Linked DNA regions of Oryctolagus cuniculus. Each later gene encodes a partner of the first gene's protein in a complex. Links are inferred from orthologs where the notes say so. Each region holds a gene or a part of one and is shown on either strand. Other genes may lie near its edges.

Region 1 (3,549 bases):
GTCTTTGGGCCCCTGCACCCACAGGGGAGACCCAGAAGAAGCTCCTGGCTTCTGGCTCCGTATCACACAGTTCCAGCCATTGCAGCCATCTTGGGGAGTGAACCAGGGGATGGAAGATCTCTCTCTCTCTGCCTCTCCTCTCTGTGTAACTCTGACTTTCAAATAAATAAATCAATCTTAAAAAAAAAATAAACTAAATGAACATCCTACCTTTCCTGTGGCACAGGTTGAGCATCCTAGCCTGAACACCTAAAATCCTAAATGCTCCAAAACCCTAAACCTTTTTAGAAAAAGATTGATTTATTTATTTGCAAAGGTAGAGTGGCAGAGGGAGAGGAAGAGATTTTCTATCTGTTGGGTCAGTCCTCAAACGACCAACAATCAGGGCTGAGCCAGGCTGAAGTCAGGAGCCAGGCTCTATGTGGGTCTCCCAGGTGGGTGGCACAGACTCCAGTACTTGACTCGCTGCATCTCTGCTGCCTCCCAGGAGCATTAGCAGGGAGCTGGATCAGAAGCAGAGCAGCCAGGACTTGAACTGGTGCTCCATCATCGGATGTAGGTGTCCCAAGTGTGGCTTAACCTGCGGTGCCACAACTCCTGCCCTGCCCCCAATCTGAAACTTCTTGAGCGCTGCTGAGTTTTAGATCTTGGAGCATTTTGGAATTAGGAATGCTCAATTGGTAAAGTCTATGCAAATATTCCAAAATCCAAAAAAAACTAAAATCTGTAACACTTCTGTCCCAAGCATTTCTGATGAGGGATACTCATCTATAATTAAAAGCAGCCAAAGAAGGCCGGCGCCGCGGCTCACTAGGCTAATCCTCCGCCTAGCGGCGCCGGCACACTGGGTTCTAGTCCCGGTCGGGGCGCCGGATTCTGTCCCGGTTGCCCCTCTTCCAGGCCAGCTCTCTGCTGTGGCCAGGGAGTGCAGTGGAGGATGGCCCAAGTACTTGGGCCCTGCACCCCATGGGAGACCAGGATAAGTACCTGGCTCCTGCCATCGGATCAGTGCGGTGCGCCGGCTGCAGCACGCCAGCCGTGGCGGCCATTGGAGGGTGAACCAACGGCAAAAAAGGAAGACCTTTCTCTCTGTCTCTCTCTCTCACTGTCTACTCTGCCTGTCAAAAAAAAAAAAAAAAAAAAAAAAAAAGCAGCCAAAGGAAAACCCAATTCTGTTATGAGAAAGAGTGACAGGGATTTAAAGTTAGGGTCGGGGCCGGCATTGCAGCATAGCAGGTAGGGCTGTCACCTGTGATGCTGACATCGCTTATGAGTGCTGGTTTGAGTCCCGGCTCCTCCACTTCTGATCCAGCTCCCTACTAAAGCACCTGGGAAAACAGCAAAGATGGCCTAGGTAATTGGGCCCCTGCACTCACGTGGGAGACTCAGATGAAGTTCCTGGCTCGTGACTTGAATCTGCCCCAGGCCTGGCTGTTATGGTCATCTCGGGAGGGAACCAGCAGATGCAAAATCTCTGCTTCTGTCTCTCCCTCTTTCTCTCTTTGTAACTCTGCCTTTCAAATAAATGAATTAATAAATCTCAGAAGTAATTAATTAAAATCAGGGTCAAGCTGGAAAATCTGCGCGAAGTGGTGGTTGGGCCTAAGCCAGACAAATCAACCCTGGTGCATCTACGGGAGTAGCCCCAGGGCATTGCAGAGGCCTGCTTTCCTCCCTGCAGTGTCCGATCCAGACGCCCGGAGCCTCCCCCACCTCTTCTCTCTGCTACCATTACTGGCTCTTTACCAACATTCCTTTCTTCCCAGACCCACTCAGCTTCAGGGAAGACTACAGCCCGATACAGCAGAGTGCTGGTTTGAGGACCAGCTCCTCTGCTTCAGGTCCAGCTTCCTGCTGAGGCTCCCAGGTGGCAGCAGACAACGGCTCAAGGCCTTATTGCTCTGCCACCTCTGTGGGTGATTTGTATGGAATTCCTGACTCATGGCTCCAGCATGGTCTAGCCCTGGCTGTTGTGGGCATTTGGGGAGTAACCCAGTGGATGGAAAAATCCCTCTATGCCTTTTGTATTATTTTTTAAAATATTTGTTTTTATTCATTTGAAAGAGAGTTATGGAGAGACAGAGAGAAATTTTCATCTGCTGGTTCACTTCCCAAATGGCTTCAATGCCTGGAGCTGAGCAAATCCGAAGCCAGGAGCTTCTTTCGGGTCTCCCACGTGGCTACAGGGGCCCAAGGACTTGGGCCGTCTTCTACTGCTTTCCCAGGCACATTAGCAGGGAGTTGGATTGGAAGTGGAGCAGTCAGGATTTGAACCAGTGCCCATATGGGATGCCAGTGCTGCAGTCTGGGGCTTTATCCTGCTGTGCCACAGTGTCTGCCCCTGTATCTTTTAAGTAAATGAAAATAAATAAAAAAGTGAAAAGCAATGGGCAAATTGAATTATATGTAGAACACCTGGGTGGGAAAAATGACTTTTTAAAGTACAGATACTGCTGGGGCCAGCTCTGCAGTATAGCGGGTTAAAGCCCTGGCCTGAAGCACCGGCATCCCACATGTGCGCCAGTTCTAGTCTTGGCTGCTCCTTTTCTGATCCAGCTCTCTGCTACAGCCTGGGATAGCAGTACAAGATGGCCCAAGTGCTTGGGTCCCTGAATCCACGTGGGAGACCCAGAAGAAGCTCCTGGCTCCTGGCTTTGGATTGGCACACCTCTGACCATTGTGGCCATCTGGGGAGTGAACCAGCGAATGGAAGACCTCTCTATCTGTCTCTACCTCTCTCTGTAATTCTGTCTGTTAAATAAATAAAATAAATCTTTTAAAAAAATAAAGTACAGATATTGTGTAGGGAGTCCCTTACAGCCTGATCTAACTTTCTGAGGTGAACACTCTCAGTACTGGGGTGACAATCAGTATAGCAGGAATTTACTGGAAACCCAACTTATGCACAATCTGCAGACTAGGTGCCAATCAAATACATATAATCAGGCGTGGGAAGATGGGTTAACACAAAACCCTCCTGAAGTATAACTTACAGGCTTCCTGAATCCCCTCATGGCTCGGCCAAGGCCTGGAAGTCTTCCGTTCACGCCAAAGCCCACTTCTGCTACACTCACCTGCTGTTGGGCTGGGGGGTGCCGGTGCCATTCTGTTCAGGGGCCGCCTCTGCGGGTTTGGATTTGAAGTAATTGACAAGGCCCCCGAACATGCTCTTAATGCTGTTGATGTGCTTCTGGCTGGTCTTCAAATCTTGGTCCATCTTGTCCACCATCTTCTCCGTGCGTTCTAAGACTCCTCGCTGACGGACGAGCTCCTAGGAAAGACACGTGGCAGTTATCCTTCTGGTAGTTCTCCCTGGCCCATGAGAACCACATGTGGGTACTCCATAAATGCGAAGCACATGTCGGGGCAGACGCTGTCACCTGTGAAGGGCACGTCATCATTTTTTGCTTAAAAGATTTATATTATTAATTTGAAAGGCATAGTTAGAGAGAGAGTGAGCACTTCCATCTGGCTGGGTCACTCTCCAAATGGCTGCAACGGCTGGAGCTGAGCTGATCTGAGGCCAGGAGCTTCTTCTGGGTCTCCCAC
Region 2 (4,257 bases), on another chromosome or scaffold:
CTCTCTGTAAATCTTTTTGTTTGTTTGTTTTTAAGATTTATTTTATTATTTATTTGAAAGGCAGAGTTACAGAGAGGCAGAGAGAGAAGTCTTCCATCCATTGGTTCACTCCCCAAGTGGCCTCAATGGCCGGGGCTGGGCTGAAGCCAGGAGCTTCTTCTGGGTCTCCCACATGGGTGCAGGATTTGGGCCAGTCTTCTATGCTCTGCCACAGCAGAGAGCTGGATCAGAAGTGGAGCAGCCGGGACTCAAATCAGCGCCCATATGGGATGCCAGGACTACAGGTGGCAGCTTTACCGGCTATGCCACAGCGCCGGCCTCTGTAAATGTATTTTTTTAAAAGATTGATTGATTTATTTGAAAGGCAGAGTCACAGAGAAGCAGAGGTAGAGAGAGAGACAGAGACAGAGAGGTCTTCTATCCATTGGTTCATTTCCCAAATTGCTGCAACATCTGGAGTTGGGCTCATCAGAAGCCAAGAGCCTGGAGCTTCTTCTGGGTCTCCCAAGTGGGTGCAGGGACCCAAAGACTTGAGCCATCTTCTACTGCTTTCCCAGGCCATAGCAGAGAGCTAAGAGTAGACGGGACACAAACCAGTGCCCACATGGGATGCTGGCACTGTAGGCAGCAGCTTTTACCACTACACAGTAAAATGAGCGGGCTGACTGAGCCACCTGTGTGCCTCAGAAAATGTCTCTGTGGGTCACCCCACCCCAACCCCAGTCATCAGACTCATTCCTTGGTCCCATACCAATCAATGGAGCAGAGCAGAATAGGAAATGGGGACCCAGCTCATGCCAATTCCTGAAATAGATGCAAAGGCAACAGAAACAGCAGAGCCTCGCCCCTCCCGTTCACCATGCCCTCCCTTGGTCCCAGGGTCTTCCCGTCTCACAGTGGCTTCCAGGTCCTCTGTCTTGTTGCGCAGCTGGTCCAGGTTTTCTCCTCGTGCCAGGATCCGCTCCACATTCTGGGTCATTATATTCTTGACTCCCTCCACCTCACTCTGCAGGTTCCGCACTCGGTCATCTCCGCCTCCGCTGGCCGCCTCCTGCGCACAGCACAGGGGCTAATTAGGCCAAGTGACAGAGGACCAGAGGGAGACCCAGCCACAGAGGCCAGGGCAGTGGAAGGCCTCAGGTGGACGTCAGCCTTTACAATGCTTGCATTGTTTACAAACTATCTTTTCCTGCTTTAATGCATCTGTAAGCCCCAGCAGGTGAGATCTGATGCTGGACACCATCACTCAAACTTTCGGGTTCCCAGGGCTCCTGGCAAGGAAGAAAGCAGCATGGCTAACTCCCTCTCGGCTGCTTCCTCCTCCTCATGGGGTCGCAGGCACTGCAGAGCTGGCATCTCACAATGTCCCCCTCCAGCGCAGACCCCCCGCGATTTACCAAGTCCTAGAGCCCTCCCTTGCTTCCTGGACCCCCCTGAGTCTTCATTAAACCTGTCAGTGCCAGCCAGCAGGACGCCCCACCTGGCCCAAGCCTGCTCCGGCTCCCGGACAGCTGCTGGAGGATTGCTTCGGCTCCGGGGCTTCCTGGACAGCCTGACCCTAGTTCCATGGCTATGACCCAGAGCCAACAAGTCCCTCACACGGCGCCATGATCCGCTGAGCACACACTTCTGCTTTCCCCACCTCTCAGCAGAGCCTGTGCAGATACTAAGTGAAAACAGGCACCTGGGCGCTGGGGGAAATGGAGGACAAGTGCTGCCCGCCTGCTGCCTGCCTCATCCTGCAGGGTTCATGATAAGGTTTTTGATCAAGGAGGGAAAACAGGCCTCCCAGCCTGGCCCTCGGGGGGGGGGGGGGGCAGAACCTTGCCAAGGGTGTGGGGCGAAGCTGGATTATCGCAGAGAACCAACTTATGGGTCTTTTACAGGCCCCCGGCTGCTTCCTTAGACGCGGTACAGAGGGATCCTTTGGGTTTCTGCATAGGGAGAAAGCGGGAGGCCCGGTGGGAGAACTCCCGCCGCCGCTGGCCTGGAATCTGAGCCGGGAACAGCAGAGGCGCTTGCTGTCCAGCGGTGTCACAACACCCAGTTTGTCCCTGCCAGGGGAGGCGGGGGCGGGGGGCGGCAGAAAGTGGCAGCAACTCTTTGCCTGGAATTCGGACGCCCCCCCAACCCCCACCGCGGCCCTGCTCGGGGCCAGCACGGAGGCCAGGGGAGGGAGGTAGTGGGGCAGGGACAGGAACACCGCCCAGGCGGCTCAGAAGTATTTGCGGCCAAGTTGTCAGAGAGGCCACAGACAGCGCCGGCCCCAGCCCTCTGACTTCACCACGCACCCTCCCCTCTCGGCAAGGCCAAGCCCCAGTCCCCAGCCCCCTTTAGAAAGCAGCCCCCGTCCGGATCGCTCACCATGTCTGCGAGTCGCTGGGGCCCGTCAGCGGCGGAGCTCACCCAGGCTGCTTCCTCCCGGGCAGCCCTCGCTCCACTTCCTGCTTGCTCCAACTTTCAGCCCGCCCCTGCCCACCTCCATCCCTGCGCTCGCGCCACACCTAACGCAGGTTTCCTCAGGTAGGCGGGCTCCCGCCCCCGCCCTCCCAGTCTCCACCCAACCAGGGCTTAAACTTAAAGCCACAAGGCTCCCCGGGAGGGCACCGAAGGTCTTGCCACTTGCCAGAAACGACAAAGCAAAGATCAAGCAACCTTCCTAGGTTTCCTGAGGCGGGACAGACTCCTTTTTATGTCTGGGATGTCTTAAGCACCCTGCGGGCCGAGATCACGTGAAAACAGGTGCAGAGGTGACAAGATCTTGCCGAAGCCCTTGTACTTAGGACTGCAAACACTGGGAAAAGTCTGGAATGCTGTCACCCCAGGCTCGGGTGTCAGAAAGCTCAGGGTTACCGGCTGCATGCTGCCTAGTGAACTTCCTCACCTCTTTCTGTATTGCAGGTGCAAAGGAGTAAAAGACAGCTCACACAATGTGCCTGACAGTGCCTTGAACAAAATAAGTAATCAGGAAATGATGGCCCACCAGCCCTTCCCCTTCCCTTCCCAATTGCCTTGCATGTGCCTTGGGAGGACAGTGTGTGTGTGTTTTGGGGGAGGTTGCTGACCCTATCAGTGGTCAGAGGACAGCCCAATGAACCAGACAGGGACGACCCAGGGCAAAGGATTTTTCCACCAACCTGGCCCTGGGCCAGAGAAAGGCCAGAAAAAAAATCCTCTCTTCCTGGATGGTGTTTATCAAGACACAAGAACAGTAACAGGGACCTGCAGAAGGGAACAAACATTCTTGCCTCTTCCCAGAAGAAATGGCAGTTCCAAAGAGGAAATATCAACTTCACCAACACATACTTTTAAAAAGAGAGAGAGATTTATCTGAAAGGCAGAACACCAAGAGAGGACAAGAAACAGAATAAGAGTGATCTTCCATCTGCAGGATCATTCTCCAAATAGCTGCAACAGCCAGGTCTGGGCCAGGCTGAAGCCAGGAGCCAGGCACTCCATCCAGGTCTCCCATGTGGCTGGCAGGGGCCCTGGTACTTGGGCCTTCCTCTGCTGCCTACCCGAACACGTTAACAGGAAGCTGGATATAAAGTGGAGCAGTCGGGACTCAAACCAGTGCTTTTAAAAAGTCTTTAATACATTTTGTCTTGAGACATCTTTTTTCTAACTTAAATACAATTTTGTCCCCAATTAGGTTGTAAGTTTATTAGATTATACAGACATGAATTTTAGTGGCCAGGACAAATAGCCTGGGAAACAAAGTGTGTACCAGCCTGCTTTGGCAAAGAAACATGGCTGCCTCACCCTTCTCAGGTTGCCACAAGGCCAGGTGGAGGAGGAGTGGAATTCTTAGTCTCTACTTGTGTCATCCAGACCAGTTGCCATTAACCACTTGGGCTGTTGAGTACTTGAAATGTGGCCAGTCTGAACTGAGATGTGTTGTAAATGTAAAATACACACCAGAGTTCAAAGACGTAGTATGAAAAGAAGAATGGAAATATCGCATTCATAATTTCATATGTTGATGGCATGTTAGAATAATGTCTCGGGGGGTGAGTATTATGGCGCAGTTTTTAAACCACAGCTCAGGACACCTGCATCCCATATCGGAGTGCCAGTTTGAGTCCCGGCTACTCCACTTCCCATCCAACTTCCAGCTACTGCCTGGGAGGCAGCACATGAAGGCCCAAGTGCTTGAGTCCCTGCCACCCACATGGGAGATCCAGATGGAGCTCCGGGCTTCTGGCTTTATTCTGGCCCAGGCTTGCTGTTGCAAGTATTTGGGGAATAAACCAGATG

What was found.
Region 2: the proteins of SNAP29 (region 1) and VAMP8 are in contact, whole or in part, in a crystal structure (PDB 4WY4), measured with the Homo sapiens proteins. The link is inferred for Oryctolagus cuniculus from reciprocal best matches to the Homo sapiens genes SNAP29 and VAMP8. Residues at the interface, in NP_004773.1 of Homo sapiens: Leu206, Leu209, Ser210, Leu213, Leu216, Lys217, Ala220, Leu221, Met223, Gln224, Ile227, Glu228, Gln230, Asp231, Leu234, Leu237, Thr238, Val241, Asp242, Leu244, Asp245, Ile248, Lys249, Thr251, Glu252, Val255, Arg256, Leu258; in NP_003752.2 of Homo sapiens: Leu16, Glu19, Val20, Val23, Ile26, Met27, Gln29, Asn30, Arg33, Ile34, Arg37, Asn40, Leu41, Leu44, Lys47, Thr48, Asp50, Leu51, Thr54, Ser55, His57, Phe58, Thr61, Ser62, Val65, Lys68, Phe69.

Annotation. Positions count from the first base shown.
Region 1 is NC_091452.1:29,626,589-29,630,137, reverse strand, and holds part of SNAP29 (synaptosomal-associated protein 29), read right to left. Parts: intron 3,272-3,549; coding exon 3,075-3,271; intron 1-3,074. UniProt on the Homo sapiens protein: SNAREs, soluble N-ethylmaleimide-sensitive factor-attachment protein receptors, are essential proteins for fusion of cellular membranes.
Region 2 is NC_091433.1:117,071,448-117,075,704, forward strand, and holds the start of VAMP8 (vesicle-associated membrane protein 8), read right to left. Parts: upstream 2,803-4,257; 5' UTR 2,368-2,802; coding exon 2,365-2,367; intron 1,052-2,364; coding exon 896-1,051; intron 1-895. UniProt on the Homo sapiens protein: SNAREs, soluble N-ethylmaleimide-sensitive factor-attachment protein receptors, are essential proteins for fusion of cellular membranes.